2 linked regions of the Drosophila melanogaster genome follow. The gene in region 2 interacts genetically with the main gene of each other region. Each region holds a gene or a part of one and is shown on either strand. Other genes may lie near its edges.

Region 1 (4,935 bases), on a different chromosome or scaffold from region 2:
GAATCGAGGAGGAATGCACAGACCAGGATTTGCACCACCCAACCGTCAGCAACCGACGCCTCCTGGCTGGCCACCCGGCTGGCAGTGGGGAGCCGGTGGAAATCAGAATCAACCCGGATTTGACTGGGTTCAAACAGGATTTGCACCAGGCTGGAATGGAGGTGGAGGGCAAGGACCAGGATGGAATGGTCCAGGATGGAACGGAGGCGGTGGAAGAGGACCTCCACCAAGACCAGGTTTTAACGGCGGCGGACCACCGCCGCCAAGACCAGGATGGAACGGCGGCGGGCCACCACCACCGATGCCAGGCTGGAATGGAGGAGGGCCACCGCCACCAAGGCCAGGATGGAATGGCGGAGGACCTCCGCCACCAAGGCCAGGCTGGAATGGAGGGATGGAACAGGAATGGGATAACTATCCACGCCTCCCCGATCAGCCGGATCCCAATGATCCAAACACGAATTGGAATCCAGATAATGAGTCTAGCACCACTCCACAAACGCCAATACCAGGACCCATCTTTCCAACGACAACACCTAAGCCAGAGCCCACCTTTCCCACGATCCAGCCACGTCCAACCGCTCAGCCAACGAAGGATACGCTCATAATAGGAACCAATCGACCGCCGTTGGTGCCGCCCCATAATCCGGATCCACCCACGCCCACTTTTCCCACTTGGATCGTGCCGGAGCCATTGCCAAAACCATTGGACGAACTCTCCGAAAATCGTGCTATTATATTCCCCAGCTCTAGCAAATATATCCATGTGCCAAACCCGGAGGTTCCCTCAATTCCCATTGATGTGAGACGAAGATGAATCTTCTAAGAGGGAGTTCCCCGATTCACACTTGTTGTATATATATTCGTAGACCATTGTTCAATTGCTCCACCCGAGATCGTCTTTGTCATAAGTTCAAAACAGGTTCTAAAAGCTCGTTGGAAATAAACGAAATTTTAATAAATTACACATAAACAAATGAGACAGCACATGATTGGATGAGACTGGGGTATCTGACGGATGAACGTTAGTAACCCCGCTGCTTGTAACCACCTCCACCTCCGTAAAGATCCTGATTCTTGTGCGGATAATGGACACTGGCAGGATGAGACGGCTGAGAGTAGTATCCAGGCGAAGGACGCACTGACCAAGGTGGTGGATAGTAGTCATTTGCTGCCGGAACCGGTCGTGGTGGGTAATAGGCATAGCCACCTGGATGCGTCTGCTGGTGGCTACCACCGTAGCCGTAGCCTCCACCATAGTGATAGTCGTAGCCCTGCTCGTAGCCCTCCTGGATGAGTGGACCTGGTCCAGGATGTAGCTGTGGATCAACTGGCCTTGCTGGCGGATAATGATTTGGGTCGCCGAACAGAAGCTCCGCAATCTTATCGAAAGTGGGTCTACCGTGGGCCAAGCTGGCCAGGATTAGCACTAGAATCGCAGCCAACAACTGCATCTTGGGATATGTAGAGCAATTTTGCTGATAGTCCCAATGTCCATGCGGCTTTTATAGCCAGCAGCAGCACATGGCGATAAGAAAGATGAATGGAATCGAGTGGAAGAACCTTGGGTAATGGAACAAATGCTATATGTACATATGTACTTATAATACTAATCTATTGACTGGTAAACAAGGTTGACTGGGAAAGCTTTCGTTCTCTATATAAAGGGAGGATCATAACTCATGATCATCATCTATGCAAAGATGAGTTATGAATTGCTTGGGAAATCCCTAAACCAAAAATGCGTCTCAACTTATCTATTACTTGGCTTTAGGCCGCAAATTTATACATTGCAAGAAATTTATATATAACATTTATATTTATAAATTTGTATATGGGTATTTCTTTAAAAAATTCATTTATTTGTTCAAATTTATGGCTAGTATCTATGCATATGCACATTGTTGTGTTATATTTTCAACTTTTGCTTTCAGTGTAGACTCTCTCATTCAATTTACTAGAAAGAACACTCAATGAGACTTAAACTACATATCTGGGCATTGAGCCCCTGATGATAACCCCAAAAATAGACACTCAGCTAAGCTCTCGTGTCATCAGATCTCACCATGAAATACACGCGCCGTGAGCTTCTGGGCTTTAGTGTACCCAAAGACGCCATGTTAAGCAGGAGGGTCATCGCATTCGCCGCTCTGGCCCTCATCCAGATAGCCAGCGGTCAGGCCTCGCAATTCAGCAGGGACGAAAGTCAGGAGGATCAGAAGACGGAGTTTAACCTGGCCTCCACTCTGACGGGAGGCATTACCAGCAGTCGCCATCGCCAGCGGGCCAATCTCAATTCGCAACTTTATCCTGGCCTTGGTCAGCTGGGATCGGGTTATGCGGGCGCAACTGGATCCATCGACGATGCCCATGGCCATGAGCAGGGTGGCTCTGGCGTACGAGTGGCCAGTACGAACTCCGTTGTTTTTCCTGGCAACCAGTCACCAAATCCGGCACTCACAATTACAGGAGGTCACCAGATTCCCGCTTATCCGCCTCCGGGTTTTCCTGGACAACAGGCTCCAGTTCCGTACCCAGCTGCAGGAGGCTCTTCAGGAGGATCCTCATCATCCGGTGGTTACCAAAGTGCAGGTAGGTCCTTCTAATAGGTGGTTCATTTATCTTAGTGAAATCAGAAAACTAATATCAAGTCTTAACTCCCAAAAAAGTTATACAAAATTTAAAAGATTGGTGAATAGCAAATCCACATTTTGAAATATATATGAAATTATGATATTAATGAAATGTCCCCTTTTTAGGTGCTGTTTCTCCTCCTGGCTATCCTGTTGCTGGAGCAGTTCCTGCTCAGTATCCGGTGGGAGTTCCTCCCCAGCAGCCAGTGGGTGCAGGAGCACCTGGTTACTTCCCGGGAACTGGTGCCTATCCTGGCTATCCCTACCCCGGAGTATACTTGCCACAGTACCCAGCGTACCCTCAACCAGCCCAGTTCCCCGCCTATGGAGTGCTACCCGGAGCTGTGGCTCAACCAGGAGTTCCTGGAGTAGCTGGAGTTCCGGGAGCACCTGGAGTGGCAGGAGTGCCCGGAGCAGCTGGTCAGGCTCCTGCCACCAGCGGCATGAACTATCATCGCTATCCGGCTCACAATCCCGCTGATCCGAGCCATTGGGACCATCATTTCTCGATGAACACCGAGTACAAGGAGGATGGCGTCCACAAGGGACCATTTGGAGTGCTGAACAATCACAATGCCTTTGGCTATGGCAGTGGATATGGGGGCGGATACAACGGTGCCTTCAACTCGCCGGCCTACTGAAGCTGGCCGACATCATGGGTGGACCTCGGTGGTGGTGGTAGTGGTAATGGTGTTGGTGGGGCGTGAAGTAATCCGAGTCGTAGTCATAACTTCGCTGCTGCCTCCTTGGCCAGAGGCAGCTGTCTTTGCCTATCATCCTGTGTGTCCCTGCGAAATAAACTTGATTTCTGCACACCCAACCAAGATAATTAGCAATGCTGGCCAGTTACCAGTTGCACCTTGAACCGGAAAAAATAAAGCACATGCACTCGGCATTCTGCTCCCATACAGACAGCTAACCCAAGACATTCACATCCCATCCTTATTCTTTTCCTTATTCTTATGGCAATGCCGCTTCTTTTATCCGGCGTGGACACAATCGAAGACGACAGGAGCTACCTGGCTGGCAGGCAGCCGAAAAAAAGGGAACGCACAAAGGCAGGACTCTGGGCGAGCCAAAGGTGGTGGTAGAAAATCAGCGTCAGAGAGAGACGCTGTTACTGGTATTGGTACTCCTGGTGCCCTTCGCTGGACCCAACTGCAGCGACATAAATCGGCTGGGTTTCGCTGTGCAGCGGAAAAGAGAGGGCCGAAGGAAAGGAAAGGAACCCAACCAAGGGACGACGTCTTGATGTCTTGCGGCGCATGCGCAGCCTGCCGCGCAAATCCTTAACAAATTTTTGGCGCTAAAATGACGGACGAGCGCGCCAAAAGCAAGGAACCGCAGGAAACTCGAGAGAATCATGCCCGGGGTATACAGACTACGAGTATACAGACAGACACTTACACTCATGGATTATGAATGATTTGGACGGACGGTATCGGTGGTTTTTACCTGTAGCAAATCGAACCGATTCCAGCCAGGGTTTGATGTCCTTAGGTCATCAGCCATCAGCTGTTCTATGATGAGCGCGGAGAAAGGAGCACAGATTCAGCTGAGAGGATTCGAAACAAAGGAATTAGAATGGGTGGGGTAATGGGTATACTCACGGCAAAGAAGTCTAGATGTGCTAAACGTTTTCCCTTAACCTTTGACATCTAGGAGTTTATGCTCTGTTTCTAACAATTAAAGATTGAACTGCAACAAATACATACATTCCAGATTCTAGGAAATTGAAAATAATGCCCTAAATTATTTAATCCCCTAGGAACTAGGATCATTTCCAACATGCTGGATAAAGACAGCTAATTTAAAATACTTATTTAAAGTAAACATAAACACTAATGATACTACAATTGCATTCAACTAGTTATATCTGAGTTAATACTCACCCGATTTTGAAACTTCCATCAGGTTTTTAAAAGAGTTTTCTAGAAAGAAAAATAAAAATACGAATTTATTGCACTTACCCTATTAAAAGTAAGAATTTTTTCACTTCGCCCACCGTTTTCCGAATGTAATGATGGTAAAAAGATTGAAGTATTTTTGAACGGACGTAAAAATGTTTATTGGTATTCTCTCGCAAAACGATACATACATAACACTGAGTACATACATAACTAGTTACTTCAACAATGCAACGTTATCAACCATCCATGGATAAACGAGGTGAACTGAGGCAGGGCGGGGCGGGGCGGTATGATCAGGAACTGGGAAGTTGATGGTGAGCGTCCTTCGAGGGGCGGGAATGTGAGCGCAAGGAGGGGAGTCCATGAACGACTTAACAAATAACAGCATTAAT
Region 2 (5,721 bases):
AAAAATAACAAATAATAAGAGAAAATGCTATGGAACGTGTGCGTAAACTCTCCAACTCTGCAGCAGTATACATGCATATATACACGTATATACATTATTTTGGCAACACTTTTTTCGCTTTGTTGCACGCAAAACCGCAAATTATGTCTAAGCCGTATCGTAAAGTATCGCAGCACGCTCTTAACTAATAAATCCATCATTTCGCCGAAGGCCGAGAGTGTTTCCTCTACCTGTTTTAGCCTCGAAGGTATTTCGCTGCCGGGTTTCGGCTTAGGGATTCCCACAGAAAAATGTCTAAACACTCTAAATCGGGATTAAAAGTGTCGCTTCTGGGTTTTCGGCTTATCGTCCATATTTATACAGATTTTAATTTACTTGCCAGGGGCTTTGAAGGGTTCTTAAAACTCAGCTTGGTGATTAGGTAACATATCCCAAGGGCCAGATATTCCAAAATCCCCTCGGGGCTTGAGTTAAACATCTTGATACATAGTTTATGGTTAGTCCAACCGATTTGGTTGGGATTACGTTGGAGTTTTAATATCGGTTAGGTAAAGTGGCTAGAATGATCTAGATCAACAAAATCTAAATGATTAGTCACATAATATTTTCTAACTACTTAAATAATAGTAATCAATTATGTTTAGAAGGAGCTAGCCTATTATTAGCTCTTAATAATTTAATATAAATCAGCCTCGTTTTGCAATTAAACATTATTAGTATTCAGTAATTATCTTGAAACCAAGCAACGTGATTAACGCGATTTCGTGCGAAACGTAAATAAGTAAGTTAGGCAAGTGCTAACTGGAAAATTCAATCCAATTGTAGAGCGATTAAAAATGCAGCGGAGTTAACCAAACCATTAAACTATTACCAACTCTCTGAGTGCAACATGCCACAACACACATTCGCTTGTTTGATATGTGCAGATTAATTACACACACACCAAGGAAGGAGGAAAAATTGCTTGGAAAAACTTTTCGACGCGACAACAAAACAACGATTTCCACTTAAACAGCAAAACAGGAGCCACGAAAAAAAAGAGGGAAAACCAACCGCAGAAGTTAATCGAAAAACGCTAAACAAAGGCCACAACAACAGCTGTGCGAGTGAGCGGGTCAGAGGGAGAGAGGTGAAGTGCCAGAGCGGGAGAGCGACAAACAAATTAATTTTTATATGACATTAAAACGAGCGAAGCGAGGCGATGGAAATGGTTGAAGAGTGTGTTTAAGTGTTGAGTGGTTTGCTTTTCCGAGCAACAAATCTCGGTGCGAAGACAATGAGGCCTCTGCCGCGCCGCTGCCGCCACCACTGCAGCGCTGCTGCTGCTGACAGCCCCATCAAGAAAAAGTTCCCCCAGAGAGACACAGAGAGGGAGAGTGAGCGTGACATATGTGCCAAGATAAAATTAATGTGCCCCCCAAAGCAGCCACAACAACAACAACTCACTGAGCGGCGCTCTCAGCGCTCAACTGTTGCTCTCTGGACGAGTGTTGCCGTGGTGCAGCCATATTATTATGATTTTACAGGAAGCCAAATCGGAGAGCGAGAGAGAGAAAACCTGTCTTGGCTTCCATTGCAAGGCGCATGCGATTGTGATTGGACAAAAAGTACGCCATATTTGAAAATTACGCACAGTGCATCTCGCTCGCATGCAGCAGGCGGTGCTCCTCTAACGCAGGCAGCAAGCCAAAGTGTGCAGCGCTGCTCGCCGGAGAGCGCTCTCTCGCGAGTGAGCGAACGCTTCGCTGCGAGGGCAGTTACGCTCGCTGCCGCAGTCGTTGAATTCAATTCGAATTTTGACTTCGCAGCGTTCAGACGTGTTCGGAAAAACCTGAAAACCATTCGAGTGACAAGAGATATAACCAACAAAAATAAGAAACCTCAGTCAACTGTGGTCACTGATCGAGAGTGTTTCGTTTCGAGTGAAAAAGTGAAATCAGAGCCAAAACACAAATCGCTTGGCCAGCAAATTGAAATAGTGCTACAGAGATAAATTCTCTGCTCAAAACTACAAGTGTGTTAAATCGCCGATTTTCTTTGGATTTACCAACGTTTGCCGACGCATTTCTGTGGATTAACCTCATCGTCGCCGAAGCAAAGCTACGCATTTGTAGCCTTGTCTCGCAACTCACGTGGATTACCCTCGAGAAAACACACTAAGCAACTGATATGGTTGTCTTGGAAGGAGGCGGCGGCGTTGTTACCATCGGTAACAACCAGTACCTTCAACCGGATTATCTGGCCCCATTGCCAACGACGGTTAGTATTGACTAAGTTAAAAGCTGTAAAATTTTGGGATGGCCGTAAAATCTATGGTTTTAAATTTTGCGTACTTAAGAATTAAATTTGGAAAGTTCATAACATCAAACAATTTTTCAAATCTAAAAATTTATATCGTCATTAATACTTTCACGAACAAACTTTCTTTGGAAGAAATTGCATTTTCTCATAGTTTTAACTTCTCACCAAATTAAAATCAATATTATCTTAAAACTCGTAAAAAACTTTAAAATTACAAAAAACCTAATTCCAACTCCACATTTTCATTTTATTCATAACAGATGGACGCCAAAAAGAGTCCCTTGGCTCTGCTCGCACAGACTTGCTCCCAAATTGGAGCGGATTCGTCGGCAGTGAAACCCCTGCTGGCAATGGACAAGAACAAGACAAAGCCCGGAGCATGCTCCTCGTCGTCGAACTCGTCGAGTTCCTCGGGCAGTGCTGAGATCTCGGCAGCCAAGTCACCCTCCGGCCAGGCCAAATCGCCCAAGTCGAGCACTCCAATCAGCTCGACGGCAACCAGCGCAAGTCTGAGTAATACCAGCACCGGTGAAATCAAACTGGCCTTCAAGCCCTACGAGACCAATGTGCTGAGCCACCAGAACCAGAACTCCTTCAAGAGCAGCTCTTCGCTGGATGCGGAACCCACGCGTCCCAGCTCTAAGAACTCCTCATCCGCCCAGGAGCGTGTGCCATCGCGCAGCAAATCAAATGCCACGCCCACAGATGGCGGCAAGGCGGAGATTTCCGCGCACGATTCCTCATCCAGCCGAAAGACTGTCTCCCCGTCGGGATCGTCGCAACGCGGCGCCAGTCCCATTGTGCGCTCCGGCATGGAGGTGCTGAACAATGCCAACGGAACCGCCCAGCATCCCAAGGAAATGAGCAGCATGGCTGCGGCGGCAGCAGCAGCAGCAGCGGCTTACAAGGCCGCCGGACCCTATGGGCTGAATCCCCTGTCCGCCCTGTGCTGCCCGCCCGGAATGGAGCAGCACGCCAATCCCGCTTTCCGGCCACCGTTTGCCGGAGGATTCTCACACCATCACGCCGCCATGTTGGCAGTTGCCGCCAATGGAGGATATCCAGGCGGAGCTCCCGGCGGTGGACCAGCCGGACAGCCCAATCCGTACATAAGTTATCAGCGCATCAAGACACCAGCTGGCGGCGAGGCTATAGTGCCAGTCTGCAAGGATCCGTATTGCCAGGGATGTCCCTACTCGGCGCACACGCAACAAATGCTCATGGGTGCCCCCTGCCCCGCCGGATGCACCCAGTGCGAGCATCAGAAATACGGCCTGGCCATGGCCAGTGCCGCCGGACTGCCACCAGCTCATCCATACTCGCAGGCAGCGGCCGCTGCTGCGGCAAACGCGGCGGCAGCCCGTTCGGCACCCTACGTGTGCAGTTGGGTGGTGGGCGATGCCTACTGCGGCAAGCGATTCCAGACCTCCGACGAGCTCTTCTCCCACCTGCGCACCCATACGGGCAATCTCTCCGATCCGGCGGCTGCTGCGGCGGCCTTGGCCCAATCGCAGGCTCAATCCCTGCTGGGAACCCTATTTCCGCCATCGGCTCTCCGAGCTGGCTATCCAACACCACCACTGAGTCCCATGTCAGCGGCTGCGGCAGCGGCGAGGTATCATCCATACGCCAAGCCACCACCAGGCGCCTTGGCTGGAGGACCTTCGCCCTTCGGCGCCGCTGGAGCATTCAATCCTGCCGCGGCGGCTGCGGCAGCTGCTCTGGGACCCTACTACTCGCCATACGCCATGTACGGCCAGAGGATGGGAGCGGCTCATCAGTAAAGTGACTTCCACAAGAGTTAAATACCAAAAAAAAGGGGATTACGTTGAAGAGACAACCAGAGATATAGAATGAAACCATTTCCAAACCCTGTTTGAGATACTTTCATGGAAAACAAAAAAGATAAAAGCACAAAACGATTGCAAAGGCTGACACATCTCTGGCTTTTGCGCTATTCTGTGATACTAAACTGTAGTTTAAAGAGCGCTAGTTACACTTAAGTTTCGCAAACAGAAAATAATCAACCACCTAAAGAACAGTAGTAGCCGCAAAAATAGCAGGATCACTCTCTTCTATCATCGTAAATGTCTACATTGTTAGGTAAAAAGAAGTGCAGCCAACACGAAGTTCACTCACTCTTATTTGTTCTCAAAGTTCAACCAAAGTTTTTTAAGTCTTAGCCAGAACACATTCTACAACTTCCAATTTTGTTAATGAAGAACCCATTGCTGAGATGTTCAAACATTGTTTTAGTTTAACTTCGCTTTAAGTTCTATTAACTATTATTACGATTATCTGCAAGCATACAACAAACCAACAATTGAAATAATGTTCTTTAAGTCAACTTATATTTAAAGTAAGTGTAATGAATATTTGTAATACCAACCAATCAGAGATAAAAAATTAAAAAAAAATAATAATAATTACGAAAAATAAAAATGAATATTTCATATAATTATGTACTGTGTGTAAATTCTATAAATATAAACTAGATTTGCTATTTACTCCTTGATGTACGCAAACCACAATACGATCTACACAAGAAGCCACGGAATATCAAACAAAAATAACTTAAACTACATGCAACACATTCGTATAAAACTGAGAAATATACAAGAAAAAACAATTTTTAGAAGCATAAACCACGAATCTTTTCTTTTGAAACAAACTCTTTTACAGCTGGAAAACTTTTTGTTGGGCCATAATTTCGCTTCGGTTATCTGCGCTGTTTGGCTAGCTCACATATGGGTCATAAATATTGCTGATAATGCTCCACTAGGTTTTCAATTATATTTACATAAGGCTGAGTGGCAAATTCCGGAAACCATAACAAGGTCTAATTCTCTTAATTTTATAGTTCTTACTTAGAAATGGGACTAAAGGAGTTTTTAATTCTGAGAATTGAACTGCTTCTTATAAGTATCATTGATATTAAATGTAAGGTTCTAGGCAAATAAATAAATAAAATCTTATAGGTTATTCTTTAAAAATATTTTAATTAGTTTTATTTTAGACAAAAGGTATTTTAATGTGCTCTCAATTTTTTCTGGATGCACTCGAAGAAATCTGGGTTTCCCCATCTCACCTAACACATTTGAAATTCAAATTAGTACTATTAATTTGCATTGCTTGTTGCATTTTAAGCGCACTCAATTTGTATGCAGCGATTCGTATTCAGCCTAAAAAATCAAATCAAAAGCAAATTTCAATTTCACGAGGGGTGGGGTAAATAACTTGATTGGGCAAGCCTTAATAAAACAGTCGCCGGCAACAGTCATAAAACACCCAAGCTGAAAATTAAAAATCAATAAAAATCACATTTGTACCAACAATGTGTATAACAAAAATCAATTGCCATTCAATGAGCAACTCAAATGCATATATAAATGAATATGTGTGCATATGTACGTATGTATG

Evidence for each region.
Region 1: of noc (region 2) and Elal, changing one enhances a phenotype caused by changing the other (phenotypic enhancement), as found in Drosophila melanogaster (one study listed by BioGRID).

The regions. Positions count from the first base shown.
Region 1 is NT_033777.3:24,863,253-24,868,187, forward strand, and holds Elal (Elastin-like), read left to right. Parts: upstream 1-2,097; 5' UTR 2,098-2,117; coding exon 2,118-2,592; intron 2,593-2,759; coding exon 2,760-3,274; 3' UTR 3,275-4,399; downstream 4,400-4,935. Other genes in the region: CG7016 (uncharacterized protein), read left to right, coding at 1-817; Srg1 (Sting-regulated gene 1), read right to left, coding at 1,026-1,454.
Region 2 is NT_033779.5:14,489,077-14,494,797, forward strand, and holds noc (no ocelli), read left to right. Parts: upstream 1-1,782; 5' UTR 1,783-2,169; coding exon 2,170-2,259; intron 2,260-2,561; coding exon 2,562-4,085; 3' UTR 4,086-4,943; downstream 4,944-5,721. UniProt on the Drosophila melanogaster protein: May negatively regulate Notch-induced cell proliferation in the eye-head primordium. Required for development of the supraesophageal ganglion and ocelli.